Tribolium castaneum: one gene and its partners. The protein of the gene in region 3 purifies or fractionates together with the protein of the main gene of each other region. This does not show direct contact. Links are inferred from orthologs where the notes say so. Each region holds a gene or a part of one and is shown on either strand. Other genes may lie near its edges. The genes, in order: kel, inc and Cul3.

Region 1 (4,207 bases), on a different chromosome or scaffold from region 3:
TTAAACAAATCTGTTCTCTGAGCTTAGTTAACAGAAACAACCACAGAAAATAACTCCTTTCATAAAAAAGAATATAAAAATGTAAAAAAAAAACATTGATGTTTTCCAAAGATACCATCGAATTTTATTTCCACTAATCACCGCCTAAGAGTCATGTAAACTTTAGAAAAAAGAACTTTAATTTTTCTGAGCTCTCCTATCATAAACTATTCGAACAACTATCAAATTCACACTGTAATTAAGTTTTCAGTCGTTTTCACCGGTTATAATGTTTTTTAGTAAGTTACAGCCGAAAGTTCGTTAAAAGCTCTTATTTATTATACAAGATGATAAAGAGATTGTTGAAATAATCTTTATCGTCATGTGTAATACATTATTTTATAGCAGGACTTCAAGTTTAAGAAAAAAAAATATTGTTAATTCGTTAATCCTTTAAATTAGTATTTATTTGAATTGAATACAGTTGAATAAAATAAATTTTAAACATTTTATCTACCATTGCGGTTAGTGTTACTTTATCTCCTTTAAAAAATGCTAAAGAAATAGTTTAACATCTGCTATAGAAAAAAATGAAATGGCCTTCGAAATCGTTTAAAACTGCAAAATTATGACAAATTAAAATTCGAGATATTATTCCAAAGTTTTTTATTCTTGCAATTTCTCGAAATTTCAAACAAGAGAACTTTAATGCTCATAATGTGTGGCAGCACTGACCTACGCCACTGCGATTTAATTTTGCAAGTTGTGGATTTCTGTTTTCGTCACGTTGTTTGTTGAAAAATAGCAAATCTAAGATCAATTAACCTTCGGAAAAACCACCCCAAAGTAATTAATGCTTTATTTGTAATTTTAGTACAGTTTTTCGTTTTTCCAAATTCAAAAAAACAATTTTGTACATAATGTGTGGCAGCACTGTTCTTCGCCACTTCGATTTAATTTTGCAAATTGTGAGTTTGTGTTTTCTTGGTGATATTTGTTGAAAAATGATAGAATTTAGAGTGATGATCATTCAGAAGTCACTCCAAAGATAATTAATTTACTTCATCCCTCATTTAGTAACTCGTAATTAATTAATTCATCACTTTTTTTGCGTGATAGTGGTATTGGTGGCCCAATGGTCACTCAAAATTTCCAAATTTACAGCGCAGATCGTTTATTAAAAACAGCAAAATTATCATAAATCAATGTTCCCAAAATAATTAATTCAGTTAATCCTATAATTACAATAAAAAATAATTTTTCAAAATTCACGGAAAGAAATTTTATAACATGTGTGGCAGCCCTGTTATCTGCCTCCTTGATTTCATTTTGCAAAATGTGCGATTTGTGCTTCTTCTCGATTTTTAAAAGAAACTAGCAAAACTAAGACTATTTTAACATTCAAAAAAACCACCCCAAAGGTAATTAATACTTTATTCGTTATTTTAGTACACTAGAAACTCAATATCTTTAATTTTTTTGCGTGACACTGGTGCTTCCATTCATCCATTGTCACTGAAAATTTCGCCATGTAATCGAAAATCGTTTAAAAATTGCAAAATTATAAATTTCGGCCACCTGTTCCGAAAGTAGTTAATACCATTGTGCATTTAATTGTATTAAAATCTTGCGATTTTTGGAAATTTCCCACAAAGGAATTTTATGCGCCATATGTGGCTGCCCTGTTAACATTTGAATTAAGTTGGCTGGTCTAGTTTTTCCAACAAACTTGTGCAAAGTCCTTAAAATCGCATTTTCCCTTCAGTACAACTCGTGTGGTAATTCCGACACTCTTTGTCTCAGATAGTGAAAAATAAATCACTTATTTGTGTAATTAATCCAAAAAAAGTATTACGTAACCTCACTTGTTCCAGGCGCCCGACTCACCTGTTCTTCCGAAGGTACGGTAAGTCTATCACTGCAAATTAGCTTAGAAACTTGCTGATGCGACAACGTTAGGAACTCTTCACACTCAACAACCTCACTAAAACCAAAAATGAATATTTTATCAAACCTTGCCCTCATACCCACATAAAATGTTGCTCAATGTATGATTCGGCATGAGCCAGCAGCTCCAAACAGCCGTGTAGATCAGCAAACGCCCTAATCCCTAAACAGTTAGTTGGGTGCAACTGCACCTGTAAAAATTCGCAACAAGCATCCCTAACATCAGTCAATTGTAACAAATTCGCGGCTGGTAGCAACACTTGTACGTTATCCTCAGTGACTTGTACTTCGCTGGTGTAAACATATTCGACCAAAATTTGCAAAGCTTGATGGTCCACTTCCTGCAAAACAATCCTGTCTTGTTTGCTCTCCTCAAAGCTTGTAAACATGGCGTAAAAATAGGGAGAGCAAGCGGCTAGGACCATCTTATGAGCGGGTATTTCAACGGTGTCTGCGACCAAAATCACGTCGCACAGCAGTCTTTGTCTGAAACAGCCCCCTAAGTGACGACACTTGACCAATCACCCTTACTTTCTCAGGAGATTCATAGCGTCAAAGGCCCTCTGTGTGTGGTGGTAGTTGCGATAGGGTGGCTTGTCTTTGCCCCCAGACCGCGGCAGTTGTTTCTGGGAGCTTTCATCGAGGGAGTTTTGACTGTCACAGCGCAGCAATAAACAACTGGAATTTCACATTGTTGTGGGAATTTGTAATGCGGAAATTGCTTTGTTTACCTTCCTTGGCGTTCCATAACAATGTCTTGGTCGGGCGCTAAGTCCATTGCTTGAATAGATTTTTTCCTAAATTGAGCTAAATTGTGATTTAACACATCGCTGCACGATTCGAGGAATTATTCGGGGTTTTATTGCAAAATTATGAAATAAAACGCACTTCGATTAATTGGTGTTTCAGTGCGCATGCGCGTTGCGCGACAGCTGATTATCACACCAAATGCGCAAGTGCGTGGTTAAATAATTTATTTATCAGGAAAAAATTTTGAACTTTTTGTTATCTTGTGCCTATTTCTTTAAAATAAAATAGGCCCCAACCACGCGTGACTTTGAACGTAAGAAACTCCAATTCTGCGACAGTGAAGCAAAAAGTGGATGTGGATTCATTTTGTAAAAATTCAATTTTTTGTGAAAAAATTTGATTTTTTGTTATTTATTTTCTAGTGTTCACTCAAGTATGTGTTCAGAATCAATATTGTGTTTGTGCTTGGTGGAGTGTAGTTTTCCCGGTTGTTCTTTCTCAACTTACATAACCTCAAAAATGTCCCAAGTAGAAATTAAAGATTTCCGATAAGTGTTATTAGATGATGTGTTCATATTAATATTTAACCAGTCGATTGCTTTATTTGCATAAAAATGTCACACTTGACTGAACATTTAATAATTGGAACTGTGTTATCAACTCTTTTTATCATTTTTAATTATTCCTTGCATCGGATAGAAGAGGGACATGTTGGGGTGTATTTTAGGGTATGTATTATATTATTCTATTGATTTGTCAATATTGTTTTTAATATTTTTCAGGGAGGCGCACTTTTGCCTGTAACAAGCTCACCAGGGTATCATATGATGATACCCTTGCTGACAATATACAAATCGGTTCAGGTAAAAGAAAAAACTAGAAGGAGATGCCTAATTATATTTTCGCAAAAAATACCACTTACATAATAACACATACAAAATATACATCGGTAGAAATAAAGACACTACACGTTGAAACATGAAAAATTTGTTTTATCCTTTTCTGCCGATGTACATTTTGGATTTATAAAACTATCAAAAGAAAAGAAACTGTTGTATGCACGATTGCTTTTTCAAACTGAATATGATTTGACACACATTTCACTTCACGAATTATTTTTTGTTGCAAGTGATAGTTGTGATCTATGAATTACAGAACATAATGTTATATGATCATAAAACAAGCAGTGTTAACCATATGTTCACTATTAAAACAATTATATCAGTGCTTTACTAGAGTTCTTAGACAGGGCCGGATTACCCATTAGGCTAACTAGGCTATAAGCCTAAGGGCGCCAGCCAAAATGGGGCGCCACTGAAAACAAATTGAACATTTTTTTAACAAATTAAAAATAAAAATATGAAAAGTTGGGGCGTCTTTTTTACAGACGTGGCCGTTCCCAATGATTTCAATGTGCTTGATAAAAATAAAAATAATAGTATATATCAAGTTATTGATACATAAATACCCTAACTAAATGTTTTTTTTCGAGTTTAAGTTAATAAAAACTTATTCAAAATCAATACAAAAA
Region 2 (3,284 bases), on a different chromosome or scaffold from region 3:
GAGAATCACCTTCAATGTCCACCTCATCCTTTAATCTTACAAGTATATGATGTCGAACGATTGGGAAAACACACATTTGAGTGTCTAAATAGTTTAGAACAAATGCCCATGTTTGTTTGTCTTCTCCCCATAGTCCATCATGTATCATATTTCGAACAGATCTTGTTTATTAGGTGTCAGAAGACTCTGATCGCGCTAACGATATTATCGTTTCATTGTAACGTTTTGCGTTAAATTGTATTATAAAAATGTGTAAGCTTTTTAATATCACCAAATAAAAAAACTCAAATTTAATAAGTTATGCTACAAATACAAATAATATTTAAGAAAAAAATAAATACGTTCACATCGTTACTTATGTGTAATAATATCTTTTACACAAACAATGTAAAATAGTAACAATCAGGAGGTAAATGTTTGATATTTTTACAGGCTGCCACTCCGACCGGTAATTTTTTTGGATGTGGCAATTGACTTTCAGTTCAGAAATAAAAAAGGCATTTTGGAATGTTTAAAAATAACGGATTTTGTAAAGCTTTTCTGGGTGATTTGAGTGTAATTATTATGTTTGATTTTGGATGATGTTCAACAGTTTTCCCATGTGACCATTTTCTGGTGATCTATATGATTTTCGAGTATTTTTAAAAGCATAAAAAATTATTATTTTTGGGAAAAACGTATAAATTTTTGCTTTTTGCCTTTTTGCCTCTTTGCTTTTGCATTATTTTGGGAGATTTCAACAGTTTTTTCGTGTGCCCAATTTTTGGTGGTCTGCAGATATTTGGTATTTTTGGGGTGCATAAAAGTTAATTCTTGGGGTTTTAGGGCTTCTTCCGTTGTTGACTGTTAGGAAAAACGGCTAAATTTTTAGGGTCCTGCCTTGTTTTTTGAAGACGCCAAATGTCGTGATCAAGAAATGAAGAGGCGTTTTCTAAGATATTTTCCAAGATTTTTAGATGTTTACTTTTGGGAAAACTCTAAATTTGTTTCATTCTACCCTGTTTTTCGTGGTCTACTGATGTTTGGGTAGTTTTGGAGTGAAGGAAGATTAATGCTTCTTAAGAGATTTTAGGCCTTTTAAGCTAAATTTGTAATATTCTGCCTTGTTTTTTTAGAAGAAAAATGTCCTGGTCAAGATGTAACATTTTATACTCTACTAATTTGTCTCAATGGGGGCTTGTTAGTTCCGATTTGGTGTTTTCGTTTCCGTCGCGTTGGTAGGTAAAGTAAACATGGCGGAGGATGGTGTGAATTCAGTGGACAATAAACAAACATTTTTTAAAAACGGAAATAAGCAATGGGTGAAACTGAACGTAGGCGGGACGTATTTTTTAACGACTAAGACGACGTTAGCCCGCGATCCAAATTCGTTTTTATTCAGACTAGTCCAAGAAGATAGCGATCTAATTTCAGATAAGGTGAGTGTCTTAATCAGTCCCCTGGCTCTAAACTTGTGGCTTCAGGACGACACCGGCGCTTACCTAATAGACCGCGACCCCAACTACTTCTCCCCCGTTTTAAATTACCTCCGCCACGGCAAACTAGTGATAAACAAAGGTCTCGCCGAGGAGGGCATCCTAGAAGAGGCCGAATTCTACAACGTCGCAGAACTGATCACTTTAGTCAAAGAACGGATATGCCACCGCGACAATCGACCGAGCAAAGACAGCAAAAAGCACGTCTACCGAGTGCTGCAGTGCCATGAGGACGAGCTCACTCAGGTGCCCACTGCCGCCTAACCTACAAACGTCACACTTTGTGTTTTCCAGATGGTTTCCACGATGTCCGACGGCTGGAAGTTCGAGCAACTAGTGAACATCGGCTCGCAGTACAATTACGGGGCTGACGAGCACGCCGAGTTTTTGTGCGTCGTGAGCCGCGAGTATGGGGCTCGCGAAGGCATCGAGGTGGAGCACAGCGACAAAGCGAAAGTGTTGCAACAGAAAGGCTCCCGAATGTAATTAGTTTTAAATACACGGACTGAAACAATATCGGGGGGCGCAGCCCCCAGACATTTCTAGGATTTTTTCGTGTCAATGCTGCCGCTACTCAAGATTTTTGCTTTTTATTCATTTATTGAGGTTAGGACGCCATTTTCGTGGTAACTTGATTGATTTACAAAAATACTCGAGCCATTTGACATTAAATGTCGCTCGTCTTTAAGGCAGGGTCTAACTCGAGTCGAATTGTGTGGTATACGTCCGCCAGACTTTCCTTTTGGCGTATTTTAGGTCAGGTGCCTTCAAAAACCAGTTTTTCCAAGAGGCGAACTTTACGAAACGCGGCAAGAAATTGGAGGTTTAATTATAGTATATTTTGTGTAGTTTTTTCCATTTAAAAGTGTGTCGTATTTACGTAAACGCACAAAATGTACTGTAACCATTTGTTTTTATCTTGCTTCAAATCATGACAAAAACTAAATCACTAAACGTTTTCAAGCAATACACTTTACTTTTGGGTGTTTAACACACTAACTCAAAAACTCCCTTAGTTGGCGGTACTGTTTCTGTATAAATCAAATCGTTATTCCTTTCTTTAAGAACCTAAGCGTCTGTATGATAGATCCTATTTTATACGGGCTGTCTCTAGAGTAATGTTTTGTATATTAAAGTTTGTTTATATCAATAAAATTGTGCAATCAAATCATTTATTAACAAAAAGCCTAACCTAAGACGTAGCCACTTGTTTCAGTGGATTTTCCAAATAAATGGCCAAAGCATTCGCCTTTTCTTTCAACATCCCGAAACCTACGTTGTTTTTAGCGTACAAACAAAGCAACAAATTGGCAACTTGTGTTATGGCAATTCGTCCATCAGTGCACTCGATTAGGACCATTTGCGGGTGTTCCTCCCTAAAAGCATTGCGACCGTTTTTCTCATACGCACTCCAAATATTGCTAGCGATGGCTGCAGTCACCCGTGCGTCTCTATCACCGTAGCCACTGTACGCCAAAAGGGCCCCCTCTTGGTTCAATAACCTAAAAATCAAATTACAAAAGCGCACCTGGGGGACGCCAAAAAACGTACAAGGTGTTTTCGACGCCGCCGGTGTTCGCCTGACTCAAAACTTGGGTCAAAGCCTTCGGTTTTAACATTTTTAACACAAAAAATAAATCGAAATGTCAAACATGGACGTGTGTTGCCAACCCAAATTTCGTCTAACCGTGACGACGAATAACAATGATTTTCAGGAGTAAAGTAATGCAATCTTGTTCGCTATTTCTCAACAAAGATGTATTTAATTAAACAGTTCTATAAATATAATTAATTCAAATAGGTTTCACG
Region 3 (4,175 bases):
TACACCTAAACCGTTGAGAAAAGAGAAATGGTGTCCTAGACATTTTTGTAGAAAATAAAATTCTCTACAACTTTGTTCCTTACACTTTCTTTGTATCTACAACTGTATTCGCAACATTTTGATAAATATGCAACGATGCGCAAAGAATTATCAATTAGAATTGTCAATTTACATTCCAGCTTATCACTATGAATACGGTTGAAGATGTAAGGAACAAAGGAACAAAATTATTGTGAATTAAATTTTCTACAAAAAAAATGCACGACACCATATTTCTATTTTCAACGGTTTAACGTTTAAATATAAATTAACTTTCCAATACTACCGTAGCTTGTCCGTCTTTGAACCACTTTAGGGTCTAAATGGATAAAGATAGGGATATCTCACCAACGTTTTTGTAAGAATTTTAATTGTCTACAACTTTCTTCCTAACATTTTTCTTGCATCTGTAACCGTATTTGCAGCGTTTTGAAAAATATGGGGAGACTGCAAATTGGTAAAAGTTTGAGATTTTTTAAAATATAGCTTACGATAAAATTCTTGCATTATGTTTACGTCATACTATTAAGAATTTTCTGCTTTATCTGCCTGTTTTTTTTTTGGTTTGTTATGTGTTAACCGTTATACGAATATTCAACTAATTTTTCAAATCCATTGGTCTGAAATCTCAAGTATAACCAAGTATGCTTCCGTACAATTTTTAAGATAAAAATTATTATCATTAATTTTGCAAACACATTATTTATTCAAAAAAAAATAACAATTAAAAACACCAATAACAAACTGAATTTTTTAAAATTCCTGTTGCTCTTTTTTCAACAAATTACACCGATAATTATACCTTAAATAAATAAAAAATCAGTCAGGTATCGAATACTTCAATTCAAATTTTTATTTTTTTTAATGAAAGAAAACAGTCGGTGTTATTAATTAATAATTAATCACTGTATGCTTAAGTGCCATTTTTAAGATAAAAACATAATTATCATTAATTCTGCAAACGCATTATTTATTTAAAAAATTTTAACAATAAAAAAACCAACAACATATTAAATTTTCTGTAATACTTGTTGCATTTTTTTCTCAACAAATTACACCGATAATTATATGTTAAATAAATCAAAAATCAATCAGGTATCGATTACCCCATTTTTTTTATGAAAGAAAACAGTCGGTGCTGTTTACTGATCAATCTCTTTAATGTGCTTTAGTACCATTTTCCAGACGAAAATGTTTATTTATCACTAATTTTGCAAACGCATTATTTATTCAAAAAATTTAAACAATAAAAAAACTAATTGGAAGTGACCCGCAATGACGTTTCTAGTGTGTTTTAGTGACTTTGTTGTTTGTTATGTTGGCGGTATGCGTGGCTCTGAACTGAATAAAAAACGAATCAGCTGAATGCTGAAAAGTCCAAGAAACTTTCTCTTCGTTTTCCTCGACGTTGACAATGGCGATGTGAAGTTTGTGCATCGAAACGTAAAAAATCGCGTTTAATGCGAAAAGACGATCGAAAGTGGAAAAGGGCGAGTTTTTCCGCCAGTTGAATCCGTCTCGTGTGATTGACTTTCGCTAGTGTGATCGCCTTTACCAACATCATCTCGAAAAGTCGGAAAAACAGGAACGGGCATTGTTGTTTAGTGTTGTTGTTAAAGATGAGTGGTTGTTCTTGCGAAAAGTGGGACTCGACGCCGGAAAAAGCCACCTTTTTTGAGCCCAGCTACGAGTGATTTGTGCAATTACCGAATTTGGTGCGTGGTGTTTTTAACGAGTTGCGAAAATGTCAGCGATGAAGAATTCCTCTCTCAGCAAAAAGGAAGGCAAAATGAGGATCCGTGCCTTTCCAGTAAGTGCCCAAAAATTATCCAACGATCAAGTGCATTGTCCTCTAGAAATGTCAAACCGATACGCTTTGCGCGATAATTATCATCAATGACCGTCGAAAATCACACCAAAATAACACCGATCGTCACAAAACCCGCTGATTTGCATAAAAACAAGCCCCTTGAAAATCACACTGGTGCCATGATCACAAACAACCCCAAAACGACGATTTTACCCCCATTATTGCCCCAGTCCCTCACTTGGGACAAGCATCTTTGTTATTTTTCTCCACTTAAACAAAAAAATCAAATTTGAAGCCACAAATTGTCATAAATGTCAGTTTTCTTTCACGACCATTTTTAAAATTTGCCAAATTTATGTGTTGTAAATACCAGACATGAAAAACGGACAGTTTTGCAGCCAGAATGATCCACCCGGAGACATCACTTTTAAATCTGTATTTGGGATGTTGACGAGCGAATCGTTCCTTAATTTGACTTGTTTTGCAGATGACTATGGATGAGAAGTATGTGGAGAGCATATGGGCCCTTTTGAAAAACGCCATTCAAGAAATTCAAAAGAAAAACAATTCAGGATTAAGTTTTGAAGAGTTGTACAGAAATGCGTACACTATGGTTCTCCATAAACATGGGGAGAAATTATACACTGGGCTCAAGGAGGTTGTTACTCATCATTTAGAATCAAAGGTAAGATGTATTCAATTATGAAATAAAAAAACGAATTTTCGTTACTGGGTTAATTGCATTGTTTATTAAATAGTCTCCCTGCAGTGTTTATCTTTGATGACTAATTTAAACACAGCAAATGCCCAAGAGTATTCGATTGCAGGTTATTTTTAACAGACTAAATTCTTTTAAGTGGTTACGGTAACTTCTATTCTCTTAATTAGCAACAATACAATATGGAAGTTACTGTTTGATTTGTAATTTTTTGACTCGTAAATATTTACTGATATTTACTTCCAACTATCGGGTCAGAAATTGTGAAAATAGTTAACACTATTGTTTTAATAATATACTAGGTGTCTCGGAATTGGCGAATTCCGAGTTCAGAACATTGTAGAGAATCACGTCAGTAGTCCGAATATAGAAAAAAAAGATTCGGGGCTTCCCCAGAAGATACAGTGGTGTTTTCTTCAAATGCAGGCTAAAAGTTACAGTGTTTGTTGTTATTTATGTTGTAGATGATGGTGAAGAATAATAACTTAAAACAATTTCTCAAATAATTAGCTTTATTTTTAAGTAAAGATCTTAAATTTTTGTAATTTTTGAGAAAATGAAAGAAATCTTTTTGGGAAAGCCCCGAATCTTTATTTTGTTTTCATATTTGGACTAGTGCATATAATACTTTTTTCATCACATCATGGTGTTCAATTGTTAAATTTCTGATTATCATGGTCTGTGAACTTGAAATTAAGTTGGTAATATTGTGGAATCTAAGCAGAGATAGTTTTATTCATTGATGCAAACTTAATAAACAGAGTACTTCGAAGCCTGCTCTTCTATCTGCCCTAAGGCAATATCTGAATTGTTTTTTGAGGTGAACAAAAAGAATCGTTATTATGATTCTGGAGTTAACTGATATGAAAAGTGTGGAATATTTATAGAAATGTAAGGTAAGGATGCCAGTGAACTTTTTTGATCAACTGTTTTCTTATTTAATTTAACAATACAAAAGTGTTTGTCATAAATACGACTTTCAAAGATGGAAGTACTATTGTTAATAATATTTAAACTTAAACATCGTAATGTTCACCTTGTTATTTTAAACTTTGTTGTTGTGTGAGTATGATTATTGGGTTTATGCACGATGACTACATATTTTTTTTATCAAAATGCCATATAAGATATAAATAAGAAGCAGTAATGTTTTATCTTGCAAAATTTTTATTGATTTAGTGAGGTATATACCTTAAATAACGAAGAGGAAGTTAGAAAATGAGATAAGAGGTAATTTTTTGCACCTTTTGTATCTCTTATTGTTAATAAACCAAATACTTGCATAAAAATCAATAAAAGGTTTATTATTTTGAATAAATTTTTTTTTAATTTCGACCGATGAACGTTTTAAATGTCCGCTTCAATTTCATTCATGAGTCAGTCAAATCAAAACTCTAGTGGGATTTTGTACTCAACAATTATCAGTAACTCTATTGTTATTATTAAATAAAAGAGCTTTTTCTGACGACTTTAGAAAGAAACCGCCAAATTAGACAAATTTAACAGAGAATTTGAAAGAAATGGCAAAAAAAATATAAAACTAACACCAACAGACAGTGAGAATATATTGAAAATTGTTATTTCCAAATGGCAATAAAAGTTTTAGAA

The links.
Region 1: the proteins of Cul3 (region 3) and kel purify together in Drosophila melanogaster (affinity purification with western blotting; 3 studies listed by BioGRID). This does not show direct contact. The link is inferred for Tribolium castaneum from reciprocal best matches to the Drosophila melanogaster genes Cul3 and kel.
Region 2: the proteins of Cul3 (region 3) and inc purify together in Drosophila melanogaster (affinity purification with western blotting; 4 studies listed by BioGRID, with this or other methods). This does not show direct contact. The link is inferred for Tribolium castaneum from reciprocal best matches to the Drosophila melanogaster genes Cul3 and inc.

The regions. Positions count from the first base shown.
Region 1 is NC_087399.1:9,463,622-9,467,828, reverse strand, and holds the start of kel (ring canal kelch homolog), read right to left. Parts: upstream 2,859-4,207; 5' UTR 2,705-2,858; coding exon 2,658-2,704; intron 2,605-2,657; coding exon 2,458-2,604; intron 2,413-2,457; coding exon 2,011-2,412; intron 1,964-2,010; coding exon 1,867-1,963; intron 1,861-1,866; exon of another isoform or gene 1,709-1,860; intron 1,662-1,708; exon of another isoform or gene 1,400-1,661; intron 1-1,399. Other genes in the region: erlin-1, read left to right, coding at 3,291-3,404, 3,459-3,539. UniProt on the Drosophila melanogaster protein: Component of ring canals that regulates the flow of cytoplasm between cells. May be involved in the regulation of cytoplasm flow from nurse cells to the oocyte during oogenesis. Binds actin.
Region 2 is NC_087399.1:7,251,048-7,254,331, reverse strand, and holds inc (BTB/POZ domain-containing protein KCTD5), read left to right. Parts: upstream 1-1,200; 5' UTR 1,201-1,232; coding exon 1,233-1,418; intron 1,419-1,463; coding exon 1,464-1,721; intron 1,722-1,769; coding exon 1,770-1,961; 3' UTR 1,962-2,643; downstream 2,644-3,284. Other genes in the region: ragulator complex protein LAMTOR2 homolog, read right to left, coding at 2,668-2,977, 3,027-3,094.
Region 3 is NC_087398.1:13,266,913-13,271,087, forward strand, and holds the start of Cul3 (cullin-3), read left to right. Parts: upstream 1-1,352; 5' UTR 1,353-1,783; coding exon 1,784-1,849; intron 1,850-2,137; exon of another isoform or gene 2,138-2,224; coding exon of another isoform or gene 2,225-2,284; intron 2,285-2,336; coding exon 2,337-2,534; intron 2,535-4,175.